4 linked regions of the Drosophila melanogaster genome follow. The protein of the gene in region 1 interacts with the protein of each later gene in a pairwise test. Each region holds a gene or a part of one and is shown on either strand. Other genes may lie near its edges.

Region 1 (6,633 bases):
GGCGGAAAACTGAATCCGACACAGCATCTGGAGACGCAGCAGGCGCTGGTCAAGCAGCTGGCCGAGATCTTGGAGTTCGTGCTGAAGTTCGATGAGTACAAGGTGAGTGAGTTGAGTTTAGTTTAAGTTTGCTCACTTTGACAGCTGGGTGTTACAAGCTCTGTAGTCCATATTTGGATGTAACGACGCCCACGACGTTAACCCATTAATGGCTGGAGGTGGGAAAACCAGGCACTGACAACAAGACATTGCTTGTGTTTGACAGGGCAACATTAGTGGGAAATGGGTGGGTTATTAAATTAATAAAACAAAGTGATTGAGAGGGCTCTTTAATTATAAGTAAACATTTTACAGTGAAACAAAAACCTTTGCAGATACATTTTATGTCAATAATACTTAAATTTTCAATAACAAAGCACTAAAAATGGCATAAAAACTTAAATGGATTTTTACATAAATCTTAATAAATCTAAACGAGAGACTAGTAATCACTGCAAACGAACTGGTAATTCCTGTAACTTTGCAGATGCCACAAACAGCAAAGAGATGCAAATGTTGACAACGTCTTATGAAGGCTTAATTCAATTTAATCTCCGTCTGTTTGCAAAAATGTTAGTGGGTTAAATTCAGTCTTCTTCACTGTTTGTTTACCTTATGTGGGCGCTGTCGACAGTCGAGCCAAAGCAAAGCAATATGTATCTAAAAGCCGAGTCAAATGAAGCCAAACCGAGTTCCACTGCCAACTCATGGTGCGCGTGGTTGCATTTTTAATTGACTGACTTTTTTTTTGCCCACCGACTACTGCCTGTTTTTGCTTGGCTAACTGACTGAATGGCTGACTGACTGATTGGCTGACTGACTGGTTGGCTGAATGGCCAAGACGAGCGCGTGCTGCGGCCCATTGATGAAAAATCTTTCGGGCCACTCGTGCACATTCGTTGGGGGGCCACAGTGGAGCATCGCTGGCACTTACGCGCACGCAAGCCAAATGGCCCACGACAAACGACCGATGGCCGGATGAAGATGTAAAGTGTATTATGTCGGCTTCGGTGGCCTGACAGTGCGGGTCATTAAAGTAGAATATCTCACTTATATAAGAAAATTATAAAAATGTATGTACAAGACGGAAAAATTAGATTGAGAAAGATTTACAAGGGTACAATTCAAAAAGTAAACAAGAGGTTATTTATGAGAGCTAACAAATGTTTATTAAGTGCGTGTGTAAAAACTATACAGCGTTTTTTTTTTTTGTGATTATTATAAAAGGAACGTTGTTCAGTATTTTTTCATTTTCCTAATTTTATTTTAAATTACCTTTTCCGTTCTTGTTTGATTATATATTACTCATTGCAACTAACGCACAATAACCACACTATTTTCCTAGCATAAACTCTTTAAAAAATGCCCACAAAATCAATAGGTTTTTAATGAAATTCAAACACTCAATTATGTTGGCTAACCTGAAGTGTTTGGCCATAACAAAGGCCTGTGAACTATGCAAACACAAACGTATCCCCGCACTGGGTTAAAACACATTACACAGAGCCACATCAGTTTCTGCGGCAGTTGGAGGATATGCCGGTTGATTGTCTGGAGTCAAATAAAATCGATTTGTTTAATGGCAAATCCCTGTGAATGGCGCATTTCCCATGGTTCGCTTCCGTTTGGCGAAACTTTCATTCAAATCGATTGTGGAGCACTATATGTATAGCTGAAAGCTGGGATCTAGGACAATCGGGTAAATAATGGTGGAGGTAGGGAATGGCGAAGTCATCGCCATCGTCGGTTTCTAGTCTCTGATGTCTAGTGTGTCTGCAACTTTGTGCTCCCGACGATAATGGTAATGATAATGGCGATGATGATGATGATGATGTTAAACGCTGCAAACTGCACGTTCATTGTGTGCTCAAAGTGTCAGCCGCCGGGCGCTCACAGATTTTCCCGTGTAAAAAGTTGCATATATGTATACACCGATATATATATATGTATGTATGTACATACTATATAGCCCAAACGTGCTTCCCAACTAACTGCCACTTCCGTTTCTCGAAGAGGAGGAGCATTGTTTCTGCGCCTTTGTTGCCACCAGTTTTCAGTGCGCCCCAAAGTATGCTGTACAATTTATTGACTTTGCTTGTAACTTGCTTCGTTTTAATGTCGCGTTTATTGCGAAAAATCTTGGGGCATCGAGAAGGCACTTGTATAGAGTACAATAAACTTGGCTTTAGTGCTCCTTTATGTAAGTTAACCACTGATATTCAAAGTTCAACGCATGCCACAGAATACAAAGAACATGCTTCAAAAAATGGGTATTTCCCTTTTAGTGAAGTTTTTTAAATTAATTAAAATCTTCTGAAAATAACTTTTATTGTTGTGTATCTCTTACGGAACTAACTAAGCATAGTTTTGTTACATACAATTATTATTATTCTTGCCTTTTAAAGGGATAAACCAATATTTACTGTGTTGGCATGTTGACTCTACAGCAGCTGCAATCTGTATCTTTATCGGATGCAATTGATCTGTTCCGAGTACAGACAGAAATAGTTTTCTTGGCACGCTTTCAACGAAAATTGCTAATGGCTCTTGAGGGGATTTATTCAATATGTTTTTTGATGCAAAGTCAAATGCAGAGTATTCCCCTACTTTTCAACAAAATCCTCGTTGGTGTTGTAAACTGGCTGCAGGCGTCTTGGATATTTACGCAAATATTCGGCAAAATGTTGGGCATATTTGGCCTGGTAATCACGACGCCTCCAGGGCTGAGCGGGTTCATAGAAATTCTCCTTATTATTGTACGTATTTAGATAGTTATTTGTGGCCAATGAGCGACTGCCGCCAATTTGGACCACTTGCTCCTCATCGCGACCCGAATCGCTGGTCTCCAATTCCGGATTCCTTTGTGGATATGGCTGAAGTTGAGGTGGAATTTGAGATTGAGGATAGCGCAGAGGTGTTGATGGCGTAGTCTCCTGTTGTTGATAGTAAAAGTAGCCGGGCACATTGTTATAGTTGTGATTGGGAGCATGTGTTGGGTCTTCCCTTCTCCAATTTGGATATGCTTGTCTATACGCAGGTTCCGCAACATAATAACCATTACTTTTTGGATACTGCTGCTGTTCCTGGGCACTGTACTGATTATCATTCACTATGATAGGCGGACCCGACCATATCGATTGTACATCTGGATTGGCATAGTTGGATTGAGCGTAGTTGGATGTGGTAATTGCATAAGCACTGCCATAAGGTGATGCATACTGAGCTCTCCCACAAACTGCATCGATCATCAGGGGCATAAGTGCACATAGCTTGGAATAATCATTAATAGATTAATCATCTCGGGTGTCCGAATGGAAATCTAGTGAAACACTCACCCAGCTCGACGAGCTGCTCTTCACGATCCGTCCTGTTTGCGGCTTCATTTCTGACTGTTCAGAACGATTTATGCTAATAACGTATTTATATGAGGTTTCACAACAGTCTCTCTGGAAAGCCATATAGTATATATAGTATAGTAATGTATAGTAGTGCATGATGTTCGTTTGCAGCAGCGCCTCTGTCAAGGTGATTGGATGAGCAAACCCCACTTTACCTGACTCAAAAATTTAGCAGGCGGCATTTCTGTAATGTTTGTATTTTTTCTCACGCACGTTTTTTTGCAGCCCTGACAGCTTAAGTGCGGCATCGTTGTTTTGGGCCTGGCCCGTAGTGGAAAACCATTTGGAAGCATTGGCAACACGGGCGGCAGGCAAATTGCGGTGTCACGTACCGCGTAATTAGTAATTAGATTTTCAAGTCAACTGTAATTAGAGGTTAACAAGAGCGAGTGTTGAAAGCAACCGATAGTTGCATACCTTATGATCTTGTTGATAAAGCTGCTTGCTAGAAGAAAAACTTACAAGTCCGTTTCCCTACATATGTATCTTATCTAAAAATATGACTGAACTTCAAAATTAGAAACAATTCGAGCTTGCTTTATTATAGTAAAGGGTATCAACGTTTTCTTACTAACATTTTGTATAAAAAATACAAATTGAAGACTTATGTTTGAAATTTAGCTGGCGTTACTTTAAAATCCAATTCACTTCTACAAATTTGGTTGCATGTAATAGATAAAGAATGCCCCATCACGTGGCACTGGAAGCTTTCTCAGGAACTCGCCACCATCGTATGAATCGCTAAATAATTGGGTTAGATTGGCGTTGGGTTCCATCTGCTTGGAAATGGGCATTCCGTGGCACGTACTATCGCGCGTTAAGAACTAGAAAAAAGAATACAAAATAATTAGATTTCAGTGAAAAGAAAAAATTGTCTAAATATGACTATAGCTTAATATTTCAAGAACGACTTGCTTTAAACGCACCATCATCTCCCTTATGGTTGTCAAATTTTGTGGTGGCGGAGGATGATTGAATGGCTCCTTATTGAATATGTTATCGCCACAGCACTTGAGCAGATGGGATGTTATTATGTTCCTAGATCTGGCCTCGTCTGCATTTTGTGGTGGTTGGCGCAGCTTGTCCATCCACATGGTGGCCATCGTTTTGGAGCGAAAGTCCAGCTGGCAAATGCTTTGCTCCAACTTCTGAATATCCTGCTCGAATTCCTCGTCGAATTTGGTGATTTCTGGATTTACCCTTTTGGAGGAAGTGGATGGCTCCTTCCTCAGATGTTCACGCTGCAATTCCTTTTCACGCTGACGTTCCTTCTCCAGTTCCTTGCGCCACTCCTGCTGATGCTGCTTTTTCTCTCGTTCCTTTTCCCTCGCGAGTTCCTTTCGCCGCTCCAGTTCCCGCTTGCGTTCCATTTCCTCCTCCCTCCTGCGCTCCTTGCGATCCTCCTTGCGCTCGGGACTCGGATTCTTTTCGGGCTTCTGCGATTCGGAATCCTCCACGACGAAGGTCTTCTGTCTGTTTCTGCGAGCGGTGCGAATCAACATCCCAAAAGTTGATTAGAAAACTAACTAAATAATTTTCAATTTACCCTTTCATGTCTCGTTTGTAAATATTTTTGAATATGTTCCTAAATCCCGTACTGTTTTGCTTGCTCATTTTGACGGATGTTTCGAAATGATGCCAGATAATATTTCATTGCTAGGCATATTGCATACCTAAAATCATGTTCAAAGTGATAAACTTATTAAGTTGTATTGTATATTTCTATTTTTCAGATGAAAACCCCCGCCATACAGAATGATTTTAGCTACTACAGACGCATCGTCAGCCGACAGCGTGTGGATTCCACGGAGAATATGCTGGTCAGCACGGAACTGGCCAACCGGATGTCCCTGTTCTACGCCCACGCCACGCCCATGCTCAAGGTGCTGAGCGAGGCGACCTCAAAGTTTGTCAATGACAATGCCGATGATGTCCAGAACACGACGGAAACGCTGGGCACCATGGCCAAGGTGTGCCTGAGGATGCTGGAAAATCCGTGAGTTTAAATGAATCACTATCAATGATAATAAGTATTCTAATCGATGGACAATATTGCTTTTAGAAAACTCCTGCAACAGATCGAGCGTGAGGACACGAAAATGCTGGTGCTGCGCGTAATGGTCGGCCTGGTGATCCTCTACGACCATGTGCATCCGGAGGGAGCCTTCGTGCGTGGCGCCCATGTGGATGTGAAGGGGTGCGTCCGACTGCTGCAGGCGCAACCGGCCATCAAGGCGGAGCCGCTGCTGAATGCCCTGCGATACACGACGAAGCATTTGAATGGGGAGAACACGCCGAAGAATATACAGCGTTTGTTGGCCGCATAATATTGGAGGGGATCGGTGGGCGCGGCCGGTGTGGGCGGAGAGTTCATTAACGTTAATTTCTATGTGTATGCGTATCGATTTAAATGGTTTTTTACCTTTATTTATGTAATTAGTAGGCTTCTGTATTATTTGTAAAAAATTGTGAGCGAGTGTTGTGCTAGCAGGAGGCAACCTCTAGTTTTATTTTTACCCTGTGTGCATTTCCAGCATTTGTTTCGTACTGTTTTAGACTCCAGCCTCCGCGTAACGTAGCAAAGAAGTCGGACAAAAAGTGGGACGCATATATCAGCAGCAACAATATTTAGTTGTTAATCTAGCCCTAATTTTAAGTAATGCAAGGAACCCAATTAACCTAAAAACAAATTAGCGCAAAGTTTAAACTGATGTTTGGGTATACGAGATGTATGAGATAAATCCTAAATTCCACTAATGCAGAGATTATAAATATAAAACAAAAAAAAAAAAACATTTTTAAATCAAATCTAAAGTATTTTTTTGTACATGACAATGTGTTTAGAACGTGGTGTAAAGATCTAAAGAATGCATAAACTAATTGATTACTATAACAAACGAATTGTACGACCTAAAATGCCTACACACAACTGAACCACAAGCTAAAAAGCGGATGCATTTATATATTTTCACGCCGTCAACTTTGATAAACGTATTTAAACAAATCTACAACAGAATAAACTTGAGCTGCGCAATAATAATAATTTTTAAGATTTACAAATAGAAATAAAGGATTAATAAAATGGCAAAACTTAACGCATACAATTTGTACCAAAAAAAAAAATGAAAGAATAATGAAAATTCACACAAACTAAATAAAGATTTATATATGCGATAAAAGCAAGAAGAATGAGAAG
Region 2 (10,539 bases), 6.7 Mb from region 1:
ATGGTTAAAAGACTTAATCGATATTCGAATACATTTTGTCAGCCTGATTAATTGAGTCAATGAATGAAATATGTCTTTTATTCAAGGGCGAAATAACCCGAATATAGTTCAGTTTAATACGTAATTGTCGTCTATTTCGTTGTATATACATACTTAAGAGTATTATTATAGAAGGATTTAAGGACTCAATTATATTTTAATCAAGACTTTCCAACTCTCTAATTTAAAGATATTTTGGACTTGGGTTTCAGGAACTTCTAAAAATTGGTAAAAATTTTTCCTACTAAGAACTTTCCATTTCAAAGTTGCTGTGTTGTAAAATCCAGTTCGAACCTTTTATAAAACCTTTGGTAATTCCACTTCCTAGACCAGAACTCGAATCCAAATTTCAAACTGAGCACAAAAAAGCGAAACAATGTGGCAAACTAGTTAGTCGGGTTGGGCGTCTGTTTAGCTGGCGGATTTACATAAGTATAAATCTTAAGCAGAAAACAATATAGTCCGCCTTGAGTGAAGCCATGTAGAAGTTACCAGAGATTCGCGTTATGTATTGGGACAAATTTGCATAAATCATAAGCACAATTAACAATCTTTCGGTGCTCCCTTCTCTGCCAACCGCTGACGCAGGTGACGTGACATTTGACTCGGAAATTTATATGATTCTCTCCAAGACAAGATCCGCGAAATTTGAATATCCACGCACTCTGAGACGCTTCTTTATCCATTCAAAGATGCGTGAATCTTCTGGGTGGGTAGAGAGTCATCGGCCTTCTTATAAATATTCAGTGGCGACATCTTCTTCTCGGTTTTCTATTCTTCGGCGAACACTTTTTATTAGCCGATTTGCGGTTGAGTTTTTCGAGTTGCTGGCCAAGAGACTTGATTTCAATTTTAATGGCCGGTGCGTGAGGGTATTTAATTTGCTCTAGGATTAGATAAGTAATATTAATTGTCTACCTGAATGGGTACACGTCTTTAAAAACAAGCGTCGAGGCATTTAAGAATACAATTAATCTACTCAGCAGTTTCAACATGATTTATATAATATTTAATTGTGTTACAAAAAATTTGCATCTGCAGAATATGGTTCTTTGTGACGATTTTTTTTTTTGTATTTACCAGAAAAAGAGTGTAGTTAGTTTTATGATTTAAGATTTGTTTATCTCGCTTCTCGTTTTGTTTTTGATGACTAAAAATCCCATTTATACAAAATAATGTTCGGAAATAGCGCCAAGACAAGATCTCCATTCTGATAAAACATAATGAAAAACTAGATATTATGATTTCCGCGCCCGAAGACAAAGGCTCATAACAATTCACATACGAGCTCTGAAACTTCCCTAGATTAACAAATATATTTTTAAATTATCCAAATAGCAACCTGTCTAGAATGCGGTTTAGAACAGGCTCAAGCGACGGTCTTGTTTGATTCGAAAACCGCTAACGTCCTTCAGTGGAGTCCAAAATTTGAGGCAGCAAATTATCAGACACTCGGTATGGAAGTTGAATAATCGTCTGTTGCAATGTCGGATGAGGTGACAAAAAAAGGCTTTTCCTCTAGCCGGCAGTCAAGAAGCATTCGATGAGCCAAAAACTAAAAAAGAAAAAAATAATAAAAACAATTCAGTCGCTTCAGTTATCCGCAATGACAAATTTGAAATGTCAGCAGTCGCCGCCAAGTGTCATTGCCTTTGTGAAGATGTGCGAAGCAAGTTATGACCCGAATAAGTTAGCCAGCAATTATGTAATAAAAGACAAGAATTAATGTGGCTCTAAGTGGCGTCTGATGGCCGCAGGGGTGACTTCCGTTCGGCTGCACTTCCTCTGGGTGTTGTTCCGCCGTTTTATCTAGACCCTGACTACCCAGTGACCACGCACCTTTGGGCCGAAAGAGTTCAAAGTCACATCTATTTTGGGCCCGCTCATGACTGCGCGTGGCCAGTGGGTGTCACTCTGATTGGTTCATTAAAATCAAGACGTGACTGCTTGCGAATAAATAAATTCTAGTTATTAAACTGGCGAAATGCAGGCGATGACAAATGCCGAAACCCGTTTGGGAGTCGCTCGAAGAATGCAGCACTGAACACCGATCACCGATCACCGATCATCGAGATCTTCGAGTGTGCGTTTAAAGGTCACTCGGCTGACACGGAGTCAGAGATGAGCTGAGCCGAGCTGAGCCTACCTTAACATTCAACTCCGGCTGCCATCTGCTGACCCCCGGGCACACGCATTTTTGGCCAAGTCAACCGGTTCATGTTCAATTGGCCGACTCCAACTCCAACATCGACTCGCAACTCCAACTGCATTTAGGCCTGATCCGAGGGGTAAGTGCCATTAGCCAACGCCTGATCTTCTCGGCCTTATTTGCCTTGGCAAGCTTCGTTGGGAGCCTTGACTTGGCTCTCGATCGTCGAGCCAGCTTCGGCTTGTCTCATCGATTGATGAAATTCGGTGGCTCGGACCCATTTACCAAATTAAATGCTGCACGACAACGTGTTTAACACTCGCCGCAGACTTCTGCCAAAAGTACGAGCATATTTGCCAGCCATCGGAGTTGGCTAAATAGAAATGCCAACAAGAGCAGGCGTTGGTGGATGGATGGTCGGATGGCCGGATGGTGCGTCTGGCTTAGTTGCTCTTCTGCCATAATTGCTGGGCCTTAATTTGGCTGCCTTTTTGTCTTAGCCATGTTATCTGGCTGTTAACTCACAAACATCAAACAACCGAGACTGGTTGGCTTTCTGGTCAGCATTCAGCTGTCGGCGTCGCTGTCGACGAAGGCTGAGGCATCAGCAGCGGCAGAGACTTCGTATTCGGCTCATCTTCATCTGGCCAAAACGCTTTCGATTTCGGCTTTTGGCCGTGTGTTAACAGCTGTCGCCCAGGTGAAGATGCCTCTGCCGACGCCGCTGCCCAAGTGGGCAGATGCTGGGTCCGAGTATATATAGAAAATCTACAAGTTTTGATGCTTTAGTTGGTATTCCACACTCGACCTAGAAGTTAAACCAACTTAGCTTGGCATCGATCAAATTCAATCGTCCATTGAATTTGATACGATCGGTCGCGTCTTCTCCTTTCCGATCCTCACAGTACCGTCCGCAAGGATTATTCACGCACACCGCCTAGGATTACCTACGCACCCGGGATTACCGCAACTGCCGTTTGTAGCAGTCCGAAAGTGTACACCATGGTAACCGAACCCAGTTCCAATCCAATCTAAACCAAAACGAACAATGATCGTGTGCAAAGTGCAAAATAACGAAACAAGTGTCCCTCGGTGTGAAGACAAACAAGACAGACATTTCGCAAAGGAAAAGCAGTGCAGATGAAGATAAAAAGTATCAGTTTTGTTGGTCCAAAATATTTAGGGAGTTTCCACGTTTTATAGTTTGGGCTTGTGACAGTACAGAAAATAATTGAACGAATACGAATTTTCAATGATATTTGTATTCAAACTTTAATTTTAAATTAAAACATTTCTTGTGTTAAAATAATGTGTCAGCTATTTAGCGCTAGATCTTCAGAAATTTATTAATCCGAACTTGTATAAAAGGATACTAAAAAAGCATGTTCTACAATTTTATAGGGATACAATCATAAAAAAGGGTTATAAGATAAGATAGGGCCTTTAAGTTCATTCAAAATCATTCCGATTTTTCTCTGTGCATACCCAAGCATCGCAAACAAGAAGAAATAGCAAATAAATTGCCAACACCGACTGCAGTTCCAATTCAATCGCCATCTATTTGCATTTCACATTTTGTCGAGGGTCCAGCTCTGGACCCGGGCTATCATCGCGAGTTAAGAGTTGACCAGATGGCGGTTGACATTTAAGCCATGTAGAAATTGAGCAAGTGGCATCGAGTGCAATGTTACGCATACGCCGTGTTGGCCGCCCACAGAGCAAATCGCCTTGGCGCGATCCGCAATTTGCGTATTAAGTCATTAGGATGGACCAGCTGCATGTGCATTCTGCCATGTGGCGGCAGTTTCTATGTCAGCATTGACATGGCTGAAGATGAAATTAAAACTTGTTTTTTTTTCCATAATTTTCGCTTTTGCTTCTGACATTTGCTAGTCGCAATTTGCGATTGGCGTATTTAGGTAAATAGCCATAAAAACGTTGCCTTAAGTTAGATTCTTGACGTTGCCATTGAATAGACGTCCATTAATCACCATCATTGTTGCCAAAGAAGATTTCATTTGTTAAAGGGCCGACTGATCTTTTCCCCAGACTTTAATTCACCCAAATCTCTCACAGTTTCGGAAAAATAAAGTTGCCCCAAAAGTCTTGGCATTGGGGCTCTGCCCTCGAGGCGGTGTGAATCAGATTAATTAGCTGCCAATTAGCTCACTGAACAGTCGAGGGAATCGGTTTGCCCCTGCAAATATCTCTCCAAGTCCTTTCACTTTCTAACCTTTAAGCACCACCCGCCATAAGTCAAACCCGATTTGGTTCTCGATATCCTCAGCTCAATTGTGGCTGATATTTAAAACAAGTTAGAACAGCAAAAATTTTAGGTTCATTAGCATAAATTATTTAAAATCATTTACATACAAAGATCAAATATTTTTGAAATTAGCAAACAATCAGAAACCAACAAAAAAAATAAATGAAACTGGACCCAGTCGATTTTGGAGGTATGGCTTAAAATCTAACAGATTTGGTTATAAATGACAACCGGGGCTTACTATTCTTCGCATGCCAGATGCGTATGCTAATTTTGCGTTTTCTCACTAGTTTTATGGCCAGTCTTTGCTGATTATTATATAATCATGGCTAGAACTGGTCTGGAGTTTGGGGCCCGGATCCGGGCCGGTTTCTTTCATAATCGGCTATTTTTATAGCCCCCGAAAATTCTCCGTCAGCCAATTAATTGAGCTCATCGACACTGGCCATCTGCGGCCATCGACGAGCACTTTCATTAACTAACAATGACCTTGCCGAAACTCCAGCGACAAATGCAAATAAACCCGCTGACAGCATCGTCGGAAGCCATAATTCAGGGGCTACTTCCTCGGATCCCCATTGAGCTTCGGATCTGTTGTGTCGCTCCGCATTTGCATGGGCATTATGTATCAATCGCGTCAATCTGCGATATTTACATACATAGCTCCGGGGGAGGGGACTGACCTAGAGATGCTAATGCCCGTCAAAGTTGAATGTCTGCGTTAGCATTTCGGGTGATTTTCAATGCATTATGGTAAATCGATTCGCCAGCTTGGCTGTTTGTTGGCTGAACTTTACCACAGTTTTGAACTGCAGGCCAGCGGAGTTGCCTTGCCTCCTCCGACCCCGACCAAGTTGCCACGAAGCGTGAATAGGCGATTAGCCTAGAAGGCGATCAATTAGTCGCAATCAGGTTGTTAGAGCCAGTCGTTAGTCTGAGCACCTCTGTACGGCGACACCATCGAAGTCCATCAATATGTAGCATCACTAATCAGGCTGTGTTTTTCGTTCCTTCCCCACAGAGAAGTGCACTGTTCGTCTTGGCGCTTTGCGTTGTGGCTGTGGCCACCGCATCGGCCGATAACCATGAGGTAAGTGCGGAAATCTGACGATTCCCTGCCAACAGGAACTTACAAGCCACTTTTTACAGCGCAAGACTCGTGCCGCCGAGGGATACTTCTACCCCCCTCCCGATGTTCCATTCGATCTGCCCGTCCGCACCACACAGCCGCCAACAAGGCCGCCAACGCGCCCTCCTACTAGGCCACCCACCAGGCCACCCACCAGGCCTCCCACGCCACCACCAACCTACCTGCCGCCCACCAACAAGCCACTGCCACCAGTGACCACCCGTCTTCCTCCACCACCACCACCACCAAGGACTCCTCCCCCAACGAGGCCCCCAACTAGGCCACCAACCACTCGTCCTCCGGCAACCTACCTGCCACCCACCAACAAGCCACTGCCACCAGTGACCACCCGTCTGCCTCCTCCACCACCATCACCAAGGACTCCTCCACCAACGAGGCCGCCAACTAGGCCACCAACCACTCGTCCTCCAGCAACCTATCTGCCACCCACCAACAAGCCACTGCCACCAGTGACCACCCGCCTGCCTCCTCCACCACCACCACCAAGGACTCCTCCACCAACGAGGCCCCCAACTAAGCCACCAACCACTCGTCCTCCAGCAACCTACTTGCCACCCACCAACAAGCCACCGCCACCAGTGACCACTCGTCGTCCAACACCACCACCAACGAGGCCACCACCACCACCGACCCGTGCATCGACTCCAGCTCCTACCTACCTGCCTCCCACCAACAAACCACTGCCACCAGTCACCGTGCGCACCACTGTTCGCACCACTCCTCGTCCAACTCCTCCTCCTACCAAGCCACCAACTCGCCCACCAACCACTTATCTGCCACCCCCAACTGTGCGCACCACCCGCCCTCCTCCACCACCCACTCGGCCACCAACTAAGCCACCAACCACTTACTTGCCTCCCGTTACCGTGCGCACCACCCGTGCCACCCCCCCACCAACTCGCCCACCAACCCGGCCACCAACCTACCCACCGACCACTCGTCGTCTGACCACTCCGGCTCCTACTTACTTGCCACCCACCAACAAGCCTCTGCCACCGGTCACCGTTCGCACCACCGTTCGTACCACTCCTCGTCCAACTTTGCCTCCTACCAAGCCACCAACTCGCCCACCAACCACTTACCTGCCACCCCCAACTGTGCGCACCACCCGCCCTCCTCCACCACCCACTCGTCCACCAACTAAGCCACCAACCACTTACTTGCCTCCCGTTACCGTGCGCACCACCCGTGCCACCCCACCACCAACTCGTCCCCCAACTCGCCCCCCAACCCCTCCTCCAACTAGGCCACCACCACCACCAACCCGTGCATCGACTCCAGCTCCTACCTACCTGCCTCCCACCAACAAACCACTGCCACCAGTCACCGTGCGCACAACTGTTCGTACCACTCCTCGTCCAACTTTGCCTCCTACCAAGCCACCAACTCGCCCACCAACCACTTACTTGCCACCCCCAAGTGTGCGCACCACCCGCCCTCCTCCACCACCCACTCGTCCACCAACTAAGCCACCAACCACTTACTTGCCTCCCGTTACCGTGCGCACCACCCGTGCCACCCCACCACCAACTCGCCCACCAACCCGGCCACCAACCTACCCACCCACCACTCGTCGTTTAACAACCCCGGCTCCTACTTACCTGCCACCCACCAACAAGCCTCTGCCACCGGTCACCGTTCGCACCACCGTTCGTACCACTCCTCGGCCAACTCTGCCTCCTACCAAGCCACCAACTCGCCCACCAACCACTTACCTGCCACCCCCAACTGTGCGCACCACCCGCCCTCCTCCACCACCCACTCGGCCACCAACTAAGCCACCAACCACTTACTTGCCTCCCGTTACCGTGCGCACCACCCGTGCCACCCCACCACCAACTCGCCCACCAACCCGGCCACCAACCTACCCACCCACCACTCGTCGTTTGACAACCCCGGCTCCTACTTACCTGCCACCCACCAACAAGCCTCTGCCACCGGTCACCGTTCGCACCACCGTTCGTACCACTCCTCGGCCAACTCTTCCACCCACGAGGCCCCCAACTAAGCCACCAACCACCTACCTGCCTCCCCCAACTGTGCGCACCACCCGCCCTCCTCCACCACCCACTCGGCCACCAACTAAGCCACCAACCACCTACCTGCCCCCCGTCACTGTTGTGCGCACCACCCGACCTCCTCCACCACCCACTCGTAGGACCACCGTGTACGTGCCACCACCAACAGTGCGCACCACCGTGTACGTGCCACCCCCTACGCAGCGCACCACAGTCTACGTCCCACCCGCACCCACCAAGCACCAGGGCTACCAGTACCCCGTGCCCAGCATCCCCTTCAACTTCTAGATCTAGAGATCCAGATGTGATTAGGGATAGGGCCATCGTCTAGGGCTAGATTGATCTAGTCAATTCTCGTACAGTCTAACTTTACACGATCCGGCGCCAGCGGTGCTAGAGGGCGCCACTGGTGCGCCTGCAAGGACGACATTTGTTTGTTTTTATTTTATTTTTGTAATTAATGAATCGCATACTCATACAGCTAGGGATCATTGTAAATGAGTGCCCCAATTGTACAGCTAACAGTCTATCCAACTCTTGCTATGTTCTATCACTATTCTACAATCGATGGGCGGCCGTCGTCTGTGACGGACGCCAGCTCAAGACTATATAGCTCTATATTACGATTAAATAAACTTTTAATTCGGATCGCTGAAACCTGAACAATAAAATAAGTTTTTCGAATATTTACAAGCATTTTTTTCATCTGTTTTTGGGAAGCGGAAATTACATGCGGTCCTGTTATGTTATGTGCGATGTTTGAAACCCAAACAATAATAACATATTTTCTTTTTCACTCCTAACCGGGAAATGGGATCAAGCCATGTCCGGGAGATTTTGTGGTCTGGTTGGTCTCGTGGGTTCCTCCTCTTTTGGGAGTTATCTTAAAAGTCGGTTTTAACGACTATGCAAAGGAGATCGTTGCTTGCAAGTCATAAAGCGCCCAAAGTGCAGGTTAGGCAGTTAACCTTGACCTCCACTTCTGGTCTCTACTAATTTAAGTTATGGATGTGAAACACGTTAGCTTAGTTAATAGGTTTGAAAAGTTCGTATGAGTAGGTATTTAAATACATGTATGTTTACTATGAGCGATGTATATTTTCATGAAATATGAAATAATTTAACCTTAGGTTATAATTAAATGTCAAATTTGAGATATAGTTAAAATGTGATTTGAACTTATGACTTTTAAAATATTGAATCGATTTTTTTAATATAATTATTGATTATCACTAAATGTTATCATTTCCCTTTTTAAAAAGTATTTCACTTATATACAAAATTAGAGCTATGGCTAGTCAGCTCCTTCGTGAGTGCATAACCACTTCGGTTTCATCACGCCCCGAAGATATTTCTAGTTACTTCGCAGCTATCTTCAGATTTTCATGGTCAATGCGTTTTTTAATATCTCTTTCTTTTCCACTTGCCTGGGAGCACGAATTCGCCTGAGCAATTAATTTATTTATCTGTCTGTAGCTTGCTGTTTTGCTTTCGCAGCCAAACTCTATTAAACTTTCTAATTAAGCTGTTGCACTTGGGCCGATATAACCGACGCTTTTTAGGCGCCGCCAGCTCCCAGTTGCAATCAGTCATCGTTGCGATCCGCGATGAGGCAGAAGCTCAGGCCCACATTCATCAAGCGATAGGCAAGCCGAGTGGTTCGAGCAGCAGATCCCGGAAAGATGTTCATGCAGTCGGCAGTCGGTCAAGGACAACGGGACACTCGAACGCGACTGGATCCTTGCTGGACTAAAGGCAGGCGGTGGATTATGGGCCTGATCCTGGTGTACACAATAGTGAGTTGAGGATTCGAACCTCTTATACAAAAGGGTTTTTTTTTTATTACGCAGTACAGTGTAATTGGACAATTTTTGTTTGTTGTTTACATATTTTGAGTAACAATTACGCGAAAATCTAGACATGAGGAAAGGGGGCCGTAATTGTACATCTCCCAATTATCTCTTATCTTTGATTTCATTTTGTGTGTACCCGCAGATGTCTCTCATGGTAGTGAAGGTCGCCTCCGCAGCCACTCTTTATCAGCAGCACCAGCAGCAGCAATCTCTGAACGACATTGAGTCCTCAGCAGACGAGCCATCCCAGGCCACCACGGAGATCGAGCCCTCGGACAGCGACAGCGACATCGAGAAGATGCGGGCCAAGCTGCAGCAACTGCAGCACGAGCAGCAGCAACAGTACCTGCGCCAGCAGCAACAGCAACTGCAGCTGCATCTGCAACAGATGCAGGCGACGCAGGGAGCTGCTGGGGAAACCGCCTACTTATTGGAGCGTGCCGATAGCAACATTGCACCCATCTACGGGACGTGGCGCACGAAAGCGCAACGGCAGCAACACGCAACATCTTCGCACGAAACGGACGACGCCCATGTTTACGAGCGCCTGCCCAAGCGATCGGCGACCATGACGCCACTGAGGGGGTTGCTGCGAGATCAGATGCCACGCCCCCCGCGCCTCACCACCCAGGATATGCAATTGTCCCTGGGCTCACCCTCTCCGCCACCGGCGCCCACAAAGGGTTTGCTACGAAGGCAGTACTCCGAAACGCCGGGAACCCGAGCACTTCGAGGTCAGGATGAGTTCAAGCCAAAGCCGTTCCACTTCCCCTACGATGGTCCGATGCCCGAACAGTTCACTAAGGGTGAGGGTCGACCCGAGCTTAACAACATCCAGGATATCCTGCAGCATCTGCACATCGGAGGCTTAGCGCCCAGTAAGCTGCCACCAATGGTGATGATGCCCACGGGTCTACACATCGCCGGTACGTTCAAGAATTTCAAGTCCAGTGGAATAGGGAACTTCTTTCGCGGCAAGCGCAACAAGAAACAGATGCAGTTCACCATACCGATGCCCATGTTCCCCATGATGTCTATGCCAATGCCATGGTATAATCCCGGTG
Region 3 (7,714 bases), 9.6 Mb from region 1:
TGCTTCGGTGTTGCTGTGGCATCCGCCAAAAAATCCAGTTCCTCTTCGATGTTAGGCACGATGACCTTGTTGCTGGCCGCTGCTGCTGCTGCCGCCGCTGCAGCCGCGTTCGCCTCCTCCTCTTGCTGTTGAGTGGCTTCACTCTTCTCCTGACGCTGCTGCTGCGCCTGCTGCTGCTGTTGCTGTGTGTAGGCCTGCTGGTGTTGCTGCTGCGTATAGGCTGCCTGCTGTTGCTGCTGTTGTTGTTGTTGCTGCTGCTGTTGTTGCTGTTGCTGCATACAGGCAGTGTACTGAGAGGCAATGGGCTGAGGGAAGGCTGGATAGTATTGCGCCAACTGGGTCAAGTGTGACTGGGCCTGCGAGGACTGCAGGTGTGCCGGCTGTGGCAAGTGCTGCTGCTGCTGCTGCTGCGCTTGCTGCTGCTGGTGCTGCTGCTGTTGGCTCTGCTGAGGATATGTGGGTATGTTTATTGTGGCCGCCGGCGAAACGGACGCCGCATTGTTTTCCGTCTTGAGCGGAGCATTCCACTTGCTGTTGAAGTCGTAGTACGTGTTCTGTTGCTGCTGTTGCTGATTGTGCTGCTGTTGTTGTTGCTGTTGCTGCTGCAACTGATGATGCTGCGGCTCCTGGGGACTGCGCACATTGCCGTAGTCGCTGCTACTGGGGATAAGCGTTTTCTTCGGTTGGCGCTTGCGCGGAGTCTTCGCTGGTTTCGGCGGCGGCTTCACCTCCTCCTGCAAGCAAGTGTGAAAAGAATGCGGATTAGAACACTCGGGATCACCAAAGGTTATATGCAAACAGCACACTATCAATAGCTTGGACATTGGGACATTAGAAACGGTTGGTAAACGAGTACACTGGCTGGTAAAAAGAACAGTCTGCTCCCAGAACATTTTATGGGGTATTAACAACTGGGCTGCGAGCGGCATACGCGTTTGGTGCTTGGGTTTACCCCCATTAGGATTGGATCATACCATTACAACATAACGTCACAGTTTCAAAGTGGCCACATGACTTTAAACTAGAGAATATCAGTTAGCAGTTTTTGTTAGATTGAACCGAAGAATTTCAAATTAAGCGATTAATAACAGAAGGCCAAAGAAATAGCTTCCACCATAATACAAGAAATAATCGAAAGGGCATGCAAATTTTTTTTAAAATATAAAGCTACAGAACAGGGCTTTAACGAAATAACCTTATATTCGGGAAACTGGATACTTCTAGTATTTGAAAGCAAGAAAATCTAATTAGTACTTCTATAAATGTAGGTTTCAAATTCTTAATTAAAATAAATATTGGAAATTTTGCGTCCAAATGAGATTTTTTATGTAAGCTACCAATAGTCTGTTAAGGTACGTTTTGTTAATTCAAATTTATTTTTAGCCAATCAGAAAGAAAAAGCGCACAGTGGAACTAAATAAGAGATCTTCCAAACTAGTCCATTTAAGTTGGCAAAATCTTGGAAGAAATAGTGTGAAAAGCAAATAAAACGAAATAAAGGCAGAACACAAACAAATTAATAAACAAATAGAAACGGAAATAAAAAAAATTAAATACAAACCTTTGGCACTACTTGAATCTGTGACGCTAAGTTGCCCGCCGACGGCGACATGATCATGTTGGCCACCACGTGCTGGCGCCGACCGGAGGACTGGGATTGGTTTTGATTGTGCTCCTGCAGCTGCAGTTGCTCCCCATCGACCACGCTCGCGGGATAGAAGGTTTGCTTGATCTCCAGCCCGGGCGGTAGGTTGAAAACTAGATTTTCGCCACCACCACCGGCGTCCACTGAGGATGCCTCACTGGCAAAATCGAGCTGCCGATGTTCCTGTTTCACCTGCAGCTGCAGCACGTTCTTAATGTCCTCCTGCCCCGCTCCATTGTCCTCCAGCTTCGTCCAGCAGAGGTTCTGCTGCTGCTGCTGTTGCTGCAGGGTGCTTTGTATCACAGATGAGTAGGCCACCGTGGTGGGTGTGGCAGCAGCAGACGATCCAGCGCCCGCTTCTTGCCGCCTTTGCACAGGGGATGCCGTCTTGTAGACGATCACCTGGGCCTGCGGTGTGCTGACCACGTCCACCGCATGTAAATTCGTGATGGGCGATCCATCTGCGGAGCTTAGCGCCGGACTGGCATATTGCACCGGATAGGATCCCGCCGGAACTGGCACTGCCAGCGGCACCGGACTGGCATCCTGTTGGTCTACTATCGTTGCCCGATACGGCTGGCCATCCTTCCGCGTCACCTTGACCTTCCGGCCATCAATGGTGTAATAGGTGTCCGGTTCTGTGTCTGCCTCGGCGATCTCCTGTTGCAGTTGCTGGTGGAGCTGCTGCTGTTGCTGCTGCGCCGCTGTCTGTTGTTGCTGCTGCTGCTGTTGCAGTTGGATCAGGTAAATCGAGTCGTTGTAGGCTTTTAATTGCTTTTCCTGCTTAATCTGCTACAGCGCACCGTACATAGATTGAATCGGAATCGGAAAGTGTTTGGTTTGGGATTGATTCGACATAGAGAGGCTAGACTTAGTCTATGCTTTGATGGGTTTATTGGAAGGGATGTTATGTTAGTATGCGATAAATGCGATAGAGCCTGCGGGGTTTTAATAAGTGTGTGTGCTTCCCCAGAAGCTGGCGTAAACCATAATAGAAGAGTGATCTGAAAGCCGAACGTAAAACAAACGAATTCTACTCACCACTTTGTCGGCCACCAGGTTTAGCTGTTGCTGTTGCGCCTGCTGCTGTTGCTGTTGGGCCTGTTGTTGCTGCTGTTGTGCCTGCTGCTGTTGCTGCTGTGCCTGCTGCTGTTGCATGGCCAGGAAGGTGTTCGATATCATGTTCGGCGTGTTCCAGGTCAGCGACGTCGACGTCAGGGCCACCGTTGTGGGCGATGGTGAGGCTCCACTCGACGAGGAGTTCTCCCCGTAATAGTTCGAGGCAACATTGTTGACTACAGCAGCCGCTGCCGCCGACACGGCCGCCTGGTTCTGGAACGAACTGAGCTGCTTGTCCAGCGAACTGGGCAGCTGCAGCTGGCGGTGCGGCGTGCTCACCGCTGACGAGGCATAGTGGGCGGGCTTAGGCTGGACACTGGCCGCCGCCGCATGGTGGTAGATCTGCTGGAATACTGGGTTGTAGCTGCCAATCGGTGACGGAGGCACAAAGCTGCCACCACTGGCGGCCGCCGCATTAAAGCTGGCGATGCTTGCTGCCGTAATGGTGGCCAGGTGTGGATGCTGGAAGTCCTCTGCTGTTCCGCCGGAGCTTCCGGCACTGGCGGGCACGATGCGGTTGTAGGCGTATGACCAGGGACTGGAATTGGGATCCATGTTTGGCTTGGGCTCTTCTACTGCTGATGGCTGGTAACTGAAACAAATAGCAAAACTTTAGTGGTTTTTGAATATAATTAGCGGCTTATATGTAAAGGATTAACTAATTGGAGTTTATTATTGCTCGGATACATTTCCAATGGTCATGTGTTAAGTCTAAAAATCCCGCCCATATTTATCAATTTAGCGGTAGCTTAGATTATAACATATTTATATTGTTATCACAAGTTGCTTGCCATGGCATTCATAATATAGAGGGGAAAAAGGCGCGAATTCAATTAATGTTATTTATGGATCAATAATAATTACTATAAAATTATTGATATTTATATGTGGTCAAACATATTTTGTTTATCTTTTATTGTAAATCAATAAACACATAGTAGAAGTACACTTTAGAATGAAACACTCCAGTTTTGGGGTGTTTGTTCCCCAACTTTTCTGCACTGAAGGGATCCCCCTATTTTTTTCGTATCTTCATTTTTTTTGTATCCCTTTTGGCCACGATGCGCTTGGTTCCCCCTTCAAAAAAATTGGCGTCTGTATTTTTTGCCTTGGCGCTCGGCGGCAAGGAGACCGCATTTTTGAAGTTTCAGCGTCAATGGGTTAATGTGGGTGCTCACTTATGACATTACAATGACGGGGCCATCACATTGGCTGGGATTTATGCTGTTTTTGGCAATGTTTTTCTGCCTGGGAATAGGATTTTTTCCCGTATTTTCCGCTTGTACATATATGTATCCATGCACACAATCACACACACACACACACATACTCACACACACGGGCGTACATGCGTGCGTGTTGGAAGATAGTCACTAACTTTTAGTCGTTATAGAATCGGAACTGTCGGTCTGCTCGGGCCCAGCATTATCTTCACATCGGATCGGCCAGCACAACAACGCTTCAATATGCACGAGCGGATTTTATGTTTAACTAACAGCGAACGTTCTTTTTTTTAGATTCGGTGCATAACTTTTTTGTGGATGAAACAATCTCCAAAATGGCCGCTCTGCTGCCAGTGAAAAACGAACCACTGGCTCAGGTGAATGATGCCACGGTGAACTTGTTCATCGGTTCACTAGTTCGCGCGCCGAGTGTTTATTGTTTGTTTTGCCGTCGTCCTCGCATTTCGTCTTTGTTAATTTCCTCAAAAAGTATACTGCGTCTTGTGTTCTTCGTGGCATAGGTTAGTCAAAAACATAATTAAGTCATGTTGTGTGAACAATTCACCGTGAAATTTGACCAGCAATTATATTCCCATGTGCTATGCAATAGCAACAAGTGTTGTATAATACGCTTTTTATCGGGTCTACAGTCATTACTAGTTAACTTTGTTGTGTATTTACATTTTACGAGCATTTATTAAGGCACATTTGATAAGATATAAACAAATTAATCGTAACTCCTCTGAAGGTTGTGTTTACTGAACTCGCGCGTTTCCTAACACTGATCAATTGGAACTAGTTGATTTCAAAAACCATGAGAACTTTACAAAATCTGAAAACAAAAAAAAAAATAAAATAATTCCAAACTTAAATATTATATTAAATCTAGGTTTTATTAACTATATGTACGGTTCTAAATTATATATGAACGAATCAAGCCACCACCATTACACATTTTGCAACACTAATTGACCAGAAACCCAGTGGAAAATTGACGCTGCTGATATAATTTAAAAGTTTAGTTAAGGAAAAATTAAATGTTCTTACTTTGGTTTTTTCAACATACATTATCATAAACTTGTAGCTTAATAATACAAAATGTAGCTAAATCTTTAACTCGTTATCCGTGATGTTAAGGAATGTTGAATTCGGCTTTGACAAGTAAAATAGTTAACAATGGTTTCTGTTCCTTAAATATTACTAATTTGTATACATTTAAAAGATTTGGCATAATAACTGGTGTAAAAAAATATTTATTTTTTAATATAAAAATCATAACATTAAATTTAAAACCATCGCGTTGCGATATATGTTGCATTATCCAGCACTGTTCGGCTGGAACCAGTTCGATAGCCCGCTGTTTTATGGTTGGTTCACGTACTAATGACAGTCATTTTACGTATTCATTGCTAAAAGAAAACTGAAAAAATACATTTGACCAAGTTTCCGGTTAGTCATCCGCCCACACCGATCTTCAATTAGTCCTAACCGAATCAAAGGAGAGGTGCGTAGTGCCCAATTGTCAATGAATCGGGGGGAATCCGCCAGCAGCTGGCTGCTCCTCTGCGTACGTGTAAATCTGGGTGAGACGCCCACTAAATAGCAATCACAACATTTCCAGAGAGCACATAGCCATGGACTTCGGAGACGATTTCGCTGCCAAGGAGGACGTGGATCCGGCGGCCGAGTTCCTGGCGCGCGAACAGTCAGCTCTCGGGGACTTGGAGGCGGAGATTACGGGTGGATCTGCATCAGCTCCTCCGGCTGCATCCACAGACGAGGGCTTGGGTGAGCTTCTGGGAGGCACCGCCTCCGAAGGCGATCTGCTCTCTGCTGGCGGCACGGGTGGCCTCGAATCCTCCACTGGCAGTTTTGAGGTCATTGGTGGCGAGTCCAATGAACCCGTGGGCATATCCGGTCCGCCGCCGTCGCGGGAAGAGCCCGAAAAGATACGCAAATGGCGCGAAGAGCAAAAGCAACGACTGGAGGAGAAGGACATCGAGGAGGAGCGAAAAAAGGAGGAACTCCGACAGCAGTCCAAGAAGGAGCTGGACGACTGGTTGCGCCAGATTGGCGAGTCCATATCGAAGACCAAACTGGCGTCGCGGAATGCCGAGAAACAAGCCGCCACCCTGGAGAATGGCACCATCGAGCCGGGCACCGAATGGGAGCGCATAGCCAAGCTCTGCGACTTCAATCCCAAGGTGAACAAGGCGGGAAAGGACGTCTCCCGCATGCGATCCATCTACCTGCACCTCAAGCAGAATCCCATCCAGGTGCAGAAGAGCACCTAGGTAGTTTTAATTACGCACTCGCCTAACCACATTGAGTTGAATATGAAAATTATTATTGAAAGTATTCGCTGTATATTCCAATTTATGATACATAAAATATTATTATTGCTGCTATAACATAGCCGCGATCATCGTTTTGTCTAATGAATGCAATAAAGAATGTGCACACAGTTGTCATGCTTTCCTTGACTATCATATACCCCATCACACAAAATAAGAAAAACGACATGAAAAAGTTAGGAAAAAGAACAAATAAAAAATAAAACCAAGGATATGACAACTAAAGTGTTTTTTCGTTCATTTTGTTAATCAAGCAGGGTTGCACATCAAGGGGCTTTAATTACTTCCAGTTTTGTTGTAAATAATATTTATTGCTCTATAAAACGCATTATACAAACCATTTATTATTCTTATCTCTAGTTAGTTATACACATACAACTTGTTTTCATCATATATGTGTGTTGGAAATATCAATGGGTTGGAAATGGAATATGGTTGTGTATGGATTTGCATTCATTAAATGATTATTAAAATAAAGACATACAGACAACTGAGGCAAGTATTTGTCATTGCAGAGCTGGTTTAATGTATGCATTATATGAATGAAATACGCATAAAGAAACCAATTACGATAATGAAAAGTGGATATCAGAAATCATAATTTAATTATTTCCATCGCTTAATAAGGTTTTCTACTTGTTTTGCAGAAATGGCTGAAGTTTCCGCTCAAGATTTGATATCCCAGTTGTCGAAGTCACCCGAAAGCCACAAGAGAAAGGAATATCTGCATTGGGATGACTACTTTATGGCCACCTCACTGCTCTCCGCCAAACGCAGCAAAGATCCCGTCACCCAAGTGGGCGCCTGCATCGTGGATTCCCAGAATCGGATAGTGGCCATTGGATACAATGGGTTCCCTCGCAACTGCAGCGATGACGTGTTTCCGTGGTCAAAAGCTAAGAAAGGCTCGCAGGAATTTGATCCCCTGGAAGACAAGAAGATGTACGTGGTCCACGCGGAGGCCAATGCAATCCTGAACAGCAACGGCATGAGTTTGTCTGGAACTCGACTGTATACCACACTATTTCCGTGCAACGAATGTGCCAAACTCATTATACAGGTAAAACTAATATTAACGAAGGAAGCCGAATATAGGATTTCTGTTCTATTATTTGAAATGCAACTTTAATATTTTCATATGGCAGCTGTATAATTTAGTCGTCCTATTTTGATAAAATGAAAAACGAATTAATATATGGAAAAACAACGGTTGTGTACAAAATTACACCAATATATGATCACAAACATGGAAGCACAATCTTTCCAATAGTTTCACGGCTTCAAAAAGGTTTTAAGTTTTTCGTTAAAACGAAAGGACGACCAAACGGACGGCAGCTTTATGAACTCATCTTCTAAAATTGATCAAGAATATA
Region 4 (7,123 bases), on another chromosome or scaffold:
TTAGTAGTTATGAAAGATACAAATCTATATATATTATATACAAATATCGAAGCATAAGTGAGACATATTGAAAGCTGGAAATAATGCAGAAATGATTTAAAGATTAGATAAGCTGTAACTCCAACACATACTTACATCCAATGATATAATAAAAAAGAAACAACTATATCATAAATGAAACATATTCATAATTTCCTAGTACATGAAAAATTGTTATAACTCGCACCTTTTTCAAACAACTGATAGGAAGCAAATCAATTTCAAAGATACAAGAAGAACCAGCTAACAGTTTTTGGTTAGCTTTCATATCATTTTAAAGCTTATACAATAAGTGTTTTAAATGTAAATTTCGAAACATGCAATCAGTTTTAATTTGTATCCTTATTTATTCCGATTTCTTGTGTATTATTTCTTAATATTATTTAATATTAATATCTGTGCTAACTGAAAGTGTGCTGCAATGTTTTTAATTAAAGAACTATTATTAAATATCACTGTCTTTATACTTTTATTTTGTTTTCGGTTGGTAGACAACAAGACCTTCATAAACCTAATCATATGCTGACGAATACGATCACTAAATGGACCACCTTTTCTATCTACTTAATCAAATCGAATCGAATCTTATCCACTACCAAAACCCTCAAATATATTAGGTAATCCACAACATTCCAATGAAACTAGTCAAATTACACTTGGATAACTCAGATATACTTACGAATCAAATGATATTGAAAACTGCTTTAAAATACCTAAATACCACAAAGAACTAATCGAATCGATACATATAGATGTCTATAACTTGATAACCAAAATCGTACAATACTCACATCAACATAAGCAAAATATATATCCGAAAGAGAGTAAAGTTTTAACCTAGATATGCCATAGATGGATAAATATTTATGGATATATCAGATATTAGCTATATATTGACATGAAACTCTTTAGTTTATTTCCTCTGAAATTCCACCTTTAGTTAACGAAATTATACAAAAATTAGGAACGAAAATAAGGACAATATGGAAACATTTTTAGAAACTGTTATCATTTATGTTTCTCATCTATCAGCTTAAATTATCTAAGCTAGGTTCACTTTTCACTAGAATTTTCGGGCACTTAGTAAAAAATGCAACACGACTATACTATATATAGAAAGAATTATTTATAAAGAGATATAGCTATCAACAAAATGCAGTTAGCAAATTATTCAACCACTTCTGTGTAGTAAAATGTCCCAACTATGAGTATTTTTCTAACCCAAACCGTACCAACCCAAACCGAAACCGAAACGTAGTGTGGAAAAGATGTCCTACCAATAACCAATCAAGTTTAATAAATGAAAACCCTCCGTTTCAAGTTATAAACAAATGAACCAAAATCGAAACAAAAATGCTTAAGTCAACTATTTAATCATTAGTGAAACATATCCCATTCAACGGCAAATATATAAACTTTATATGGGTAAAGCCATCTCTAGGAGTACGTAGTCGAGGACGAATTTAAAAGCATCAAGTCTAGTAACTGAGATCTGAGTTGAGAATAGCCAAAGCTGCCATTTGTTTGTCCACAATTTTATATACTGACAACTGATATCAAGCAACGCAATTCAAGCATATCCCGAAATAGTCTTCATCATCCAGTGGTTGTCTACAATAGATTTTTACCTAACGCGAGAACCGACGAGGAAATCGGACGGAGAAGTCCGAGACGAAGCCAAACAATCAACGAAGAAATTATGAATTAAATATTATACAATTGTCAAGGAATACTGTGAGCTATATTAGCCGCTTATTTATATTAGCGGTATGTACACCGTATATTAGTCTCTTATTCTAAGCAGATTACTTAGCTAAATTGTGTCCAACTGTAAAGGCCTCTAGAGCACAGCACTTTTGTATGGTATATCAGCCTAAAGACCCTTAGTTTAAATAATCGTACACATCAAATCAATCAGACGGATAATGATAGACACAAAGCCCCGAGCTTGGCAACTAATCGTTTTTGTTGGAATAGAAGCTTCGAAATTAATTTAGTGGTAGCAGGCATGACTCAATTGTACCTATCTTTTGATACCGTTTATTACAAAACTAAGGACTATAATCGTATTTAAATTGTATACCTAATCGAGTGCAGCGAGACCAAAACGCACTCTGCACACTGATGAACTTTTGAAGTCGGCTGAGGAGTACATAAATTTATATCGATATCGAAAACATTTCAGTATGTTCTACGAATGGTAGCTCATAGAACCTATTAAACATAAAACATAATACATAAATAATAACACATTATGCATTGTAATAAACTTATTTATAACATACGGTGACATACTCGAAACGTTTATATACAACACACATATACATATTTATACATAATCAGAAATTATACATATGAGATATGCCACATACGATATCATATAACATATACATATATGAACCATTGCGAAAAGTTGATACAATAAATAAAACACTCATCAATTGCGTTAAAACGTTGTTTTTTAAATTATTTAAAAACTTTTTGTGGGACTATTTTCTTCTTGGCTTCGGAACTTCAATCTAATAGTTTCTAGGGAAGACCGCAAACAAATTTGTTAGGTTTTTCAATTCTCGTTTTATTTCCTAGACTAACCATTCAACAACATTTTCTTAAAGACGTGTACATAGGCTAGGGGTAACTTAGAATCAATCTACATGTTGGATCGGTATCAAATCCCTCGAAGAACACAGAGTAAGAGATTGAGAGTACAGCGTTTGGCACAGATATAGCCGGAGTTTCAGTTTTGGGTCAGTGTAAGCTGCGTGCGATAGATGAAGTCGAATCAAATCAGATCAGATAGTTGAGAACCTTGGTCCCTCAGTGATGGTAGTAGGCATGGGGTTCCACTGGAGCGGGGGCCGGACCTGGAGCCGGATAGTGGGCATAGGGGCTGTGCGCCAGGGCGGGATAGGCGGCATGGAAGTGGGCGGAGGGCAGGACTGGAGTAGCCACTGGCACAGACACCGGAGCTGGAGCAGGAGCGGGAGCGGGACCTGGTGCAGGAGCGGGAGCACCACGGTGGTAAGGTCCTAAGGCAAGAGGATACGAAAGCAGAGGAGCCTTGGGCACCGGCGGAAGTGGAGGCGCCGGAGCTGGGCCGTAATGAGCTGGTACTGGAGCGGGTGCAGGTGCGACGACGGGTGCCAGGTGGGCTGGTGCCTTGTAGGCCAGCGGCTCCTTGCGGACCACCGCATTGAATCCGTGATGGGGATCCGCTGTGTAGTCAACGGTGCGTTTGGTTCCATCCGGATCCACAACCGAGTAGCTGCCCTTCACCACATCTCCGTGGCGCGTCTCGTGCTGTGACTTCAGGTCACCAGTATAACCATCCTGGATGTCGTAGCCAAAGGAGTACTTCGGGTCGGGATCGTAGGGTTCGGGAGCAGCCGGCTTGGGCGCCACATAGGGACCTGGCAGGGGCCCATGCTGCGGTGCATATCCTCCATAGTGGTGCAGAGGTCCGGGACCAGCTGGACCGCCATAGTATGGTCCGGGTCCAATCACGCCCGCATAGGCGATGCCGAGCATGGCGCTCAGCAGGGAAATCTGAAAAAAAAATTAAAAGAAAATGTTGAAAGCGATTAAATTGAAATAAGCTTTAAGTAATATGAGGACAGGGAAGAATTGTTTAGAATAATTCTTGGCAATTAAATTTAATTTAAATCAAATCACATATTAACTCGGATCATTCGACGGGTTTCATTAGGACTTAAACTATCTTCTTTATGCACTAATTTTCTTTGTATGAATAAAATATAAGCTTTTAGTAATAGGAACACTTGGTTAATTCATCTTGGCATTCCCCTTGAGAATATGTTAAATCGGCTTAAACTTGATTGTCCAGACTATAAGAGCACTTTGGTATCCTTTGTTTTCACACCTTCAGCATAACGATGTCCTTGCAGGGGTATCCTTTCCACTCGCTCACAGTTGTCACAGACTCAGCAGACACCACACGTAGAGAGTGGCCGGAGTATTGTTGGTTTCGACGACGATCGCGCTAGAAGAAGTAACCAAAACTGCAAGCGTTCGCTGGAAGTTCTGGCCATTTATACTGGCAAACGGCGGCAAATGTCGCCTGCTTCACATGGCGCAGTCGAGGCAATAAACTAATTTCAGATCAAGAGAGACCCGGCCAGACGGAGTCTTCGGTGTCTTGGGCCAGCGATCAAGCACATGGCGCGGACCAGTACTGCGGAGCCACGGGGGCGGGGATTGACTCTTGCCCACCTGGCGGCAAATCGTGTGCCTGGCTTCAACTTTGGCGCAGTTATCGTGTCGACTTAGAAAGGTTATTCTTCCGCTAAACCATTTAAAGGGTCCCCAGACCCCGGAGCCAATCCAACCCGAGCTTTGCCCTTTCACTTTTGCGACGTTTACGATTCGTTTTCGATTCGCTTTTCAATACCCGCTTGGACACCGACTTTTGGCAATTATGTGAAAATTTATTTTGCCGCACACAATTGAAATGTTACATTAACATTGGCTGGATGTTAGGATATGCTGCATTTGGCTGCCGCGTAATTAGCTAAGAAGAACAAGCTGCACCGGGCGATGTTGAGGTTCCATATGAAATGGCAGTTGCAGCGCATGCGCAAAAGGTCAGGTGGTCCACAATTGAATTAAGAGTGCCTGGAGTGGGCCCAAAAGCCAGAGGCTCACCGAAGAAGGGGGGCGGAAACAGGGGCGACTGGCTCGCCACAACAGCCTAATAAAGCAAAAGGTCAACGCGCTGCTGTCGGCACATTAGTCTGGCCCACAGACCAGGCCAAACAACCACTTGCAGTCTAGGCAAATAATGTCATTAATAATACCCTTCAAAAAGTGGCATGACGACTATATAAGGTTACTCATGACTGATCCTTCAGCTGAAGACTGGTTTTCTGTTTGATCTTCCCCTTAAATGGTTGCTACGTAGCGGAGATGCTAAAAGCTGACTATGATAGGACACATTGTAATAGGAATACTGATCAGTTACATAGTTTATAATCAATGATAAACTTGAGATAATTTCTGGAAGGACCAAAAAAGTTTGCAGCTAGTTCCTAAGAGTGCCTGATTAGCCAAAAATACCCTTTCCAGCCTCTAACGACCAAGTGTCTGCGACAATTCTCATGTTTACCGTTTTGTGAGCTTAATTTATGGCTGCAAATTTGTATCTGGCATCTGGAAAACTATTGACATCTGCATGCATTGTCTTACCCTTGCTGTTACCATCGGGCCTGTTTATGCGACAACTAACTATAACAAAGAATCAAAGTCGTGCCAACCGCCGGGCCAGTCGATGTCAGCTGTTTTAACTATTTTTAGCCAGAAGATCAAAGCAATTGATCAACAAGAATGGCAGGCTAATGCTACAAAGTTGCCAATATGGCTGAATGGAAAATCTAGTCAATAATGGATTAGTTAAGCACAATATTGGTATGTATGTAGGTATTTTAATTGCAAAAATTTTGTTTCGACAAAAACTTACGCGATAGATGTGACATCTCCTGTAGATATTTTCCCAATTACAGGGCTCACAGCTGGCAAAACATTTGACGGTATATCTGTAATTTTAAAACCCATCCAGCTGTTTTAGCTTTATGAAACATATTGCCTAAAGCCGCTAAAGATAAATTTATGGCTATTCCCAGCGCAGTTTAATTTAGCTTCTGGTCAGTTCTCAAAGGGAGTTGGAAGTAGTCAGTCGCTTTGGAAATTTTTTATGTCATCGAAGCAACGTCTGATGGATTTCAGTCAGGTTCTGGATAAGTGTGGAAACTATGGCAGGTTCCAGGTGATGATCCTTTTGCTGTACGGCTACACAAATATTCTTGGATCACTGCACTACTTTTCGCAGACCCTTATCACCTTCACACCAGAGCATTGGTGAGTGTGGACACAAAATGGGTGATTGGTCCCGACCATGTAATATCCAATCTTTCTTATGCAGGTGCTTCCATGCTGACCTTAATGGTCTCAGTGTTGAAGGGATTCGCTCGGTATATGAAAACATATCCGCCTCATCCTGCACGCCCCTTTTGGGCGTAGTCAACGGCACAGGTGTTGTATCTACGAACCGAAAGTGCAGGAATTGGATTTTTAACAGGGAGAGCGGCTACGAAAGCATTACCACCGAGGTATGAAGCCATTGAAAAACGTTGTTGAAAAGATTTACAATATAGAAAACCCACTTCAGCTCAAATGGGTTTGTGACAAATCGCATCATCCAGCAGTGGGCCAATCCTTCTTCTTCATGGGCTCAGTCGTGGGCACCATAATCTTTGGCTATCTGTCGGATCAAGTAGGTCGTCTGCCTTCCCTGCTGATGGCCACCTTGTGTGGTGCAACTGGGGATTTTATCACCTCCTTTGTGCACACGCTGCCCTGGTTCGCCTTTTCCAGATTTATGTCAGGGCTATCCACTGATACCATGTACTACCTAATGTACATATTGGGTAATATAACTTTAAATCAAAATATAAGGTTAAATTAATCTACGTTCCCCATATCGTCAGTCTTTGAGTACTTAAGCCCCAAGAGCCGTACCTTTGGCCTCAACATCATCTTGGCTGTATTCTACTGTTTTGGACTGATGACCTCGCCCTGGGCCGCCATTTGGATTGGTAATTGGCGACGCTACCTTTGGCTGGCATCTCTTCCAGCACTGGGTGTCCTTATATATCCATTCCTGATCTGCGAAAGTGCTCAGTGGCTTTTGACCAAAAGGAAGTACGACGATGCGGTGATTTGTCTAAAGAAAGTGGCCAAGTTCAATAGGCGACATGTGGAGGAGTCCGTTTTCGATGAGTTTGTCAAATACTATCGGGAAAGGGAACTTCAGGATTACAAGCTTAATAGTCACGAGGACACTTTCTTAGCCATGTTTTTGACCCCTCGGTTGCGTCGATTCACTTTGACATTGCTCGTGAAGTCGTAAGTTCTTTACTTTTGGATCTTAGTGCATTATTTAATGCCTTCTTTCGGTTGTAGAGTCATTATAACCCTCTCATGCGATGTGATTAACCGGAATATGGAGGGCTTAGGCACTTCGCCCTTTAAGCTCTTCTCCTTCACATCGATTGTATACCTCCCAGCGGGA

What was found.
Region 2: the proteins of CG14153 (region 1) and CG13731 interact in a two-hybrid assay, tested with the Drosophila melanogaster proteins (one large-scale study listed by BioGRID).
Region 3: the proteins of CG14153 (region 1) and CG17233 interact in a two-hybrid assay, tested with the Drosophila melanogaster proteins (one large-scale study listed by BioGRID).
Region 4: the proteins of CG14153 (region 1) and Cpr92A interact in a two-hybrid assay, tested with the Drosophila melanogaster proteins (one large-scale study listed by BioGRID).

Annotation. Positions count from the first base shown.
Region 1 is NT_037436.4:10,640,332-10,646,964, reverse strand, and holds CG14153 (uncharacterized protein), read right to left. Parts: upstream 3,438-6,633; 5' UTR 3,423-3,437; coding exon 3,375-3,422; intron 3,309-3,374; coding exon 2,643-3,308; 3' UTR 2,350-2,642; downstream 1-2,349. Other genes in the region: CG14154 (uncharacterized protein), read right to left, coding at 4,088-4,261, 4,364-4,939; CG32066 (uncharacterized protein), read left to right, coding at 1-102, 5,171-5,433, 5,500-5,764.
Region 2 is NT_037436.4:17,381,399-17,391,937, reverse strand, and holds CG13731 (uncharacterized protein), read left to right. Parts: upstream 1-2,981; 5' UTR 2,982-3,190; coding exon 3,191-3,193; intron 3,194-5,475; coding exon 5,476-5,544; intron 5,545-5,603; coding exon 5,604-7,910; 3' UTR 7,911-8,302; downstream 8,303-10,539. Other genes in the region: CG13728 (uncharacterized protein), read left to right, coding at 9,305-9,418, 9,618-10,539.
Region 3 is NT_037436.4:20,237,177-20,244,890, forward strand, and holds the start of CG17233 (uncharacterized protein), read right to left. Parts: upstream 4,343-7,714; 5' UTR 4,099-4,342; exon of another isoform or gene 3,943-4,098; intron 3,931-3,942; exon of another isoform or gene 3,877-3,930; intron 3,357-3,876; 5' UTR 3,320-3,356; coding exon 2,687-3,319; intron 2,438-2,686; coding exon 1,562-2,437; intron 735-1,561; coding exon 1-734. Other genes in the region: Clc (clathrin light chain), read left to right, coding at 5,622-6,281; CG6951 (uncharacterized protein), read left to right, coding at 6,991-7,401.
Region 4 is NT_033777.3:19,594,907-19,602,029, forward strand, and holds Cpr92A (cuticular protein 92A), read right to left. Parts: upstream 4,050-7,123; 5' UTR 3,929-4,049; coding exon 3,920-3,928; intron 3,586-3,919; coding exon 2,857-3,585; 3' UTR 2,596-2,856; downstream 1-2,595. Other genes in the region: CG7333 (uncharacterized protein), read left to right, coding at 5,768-5,910, 5,975-6,161, 6,221-6,479, 6,540-6,957, 7,015-7,123.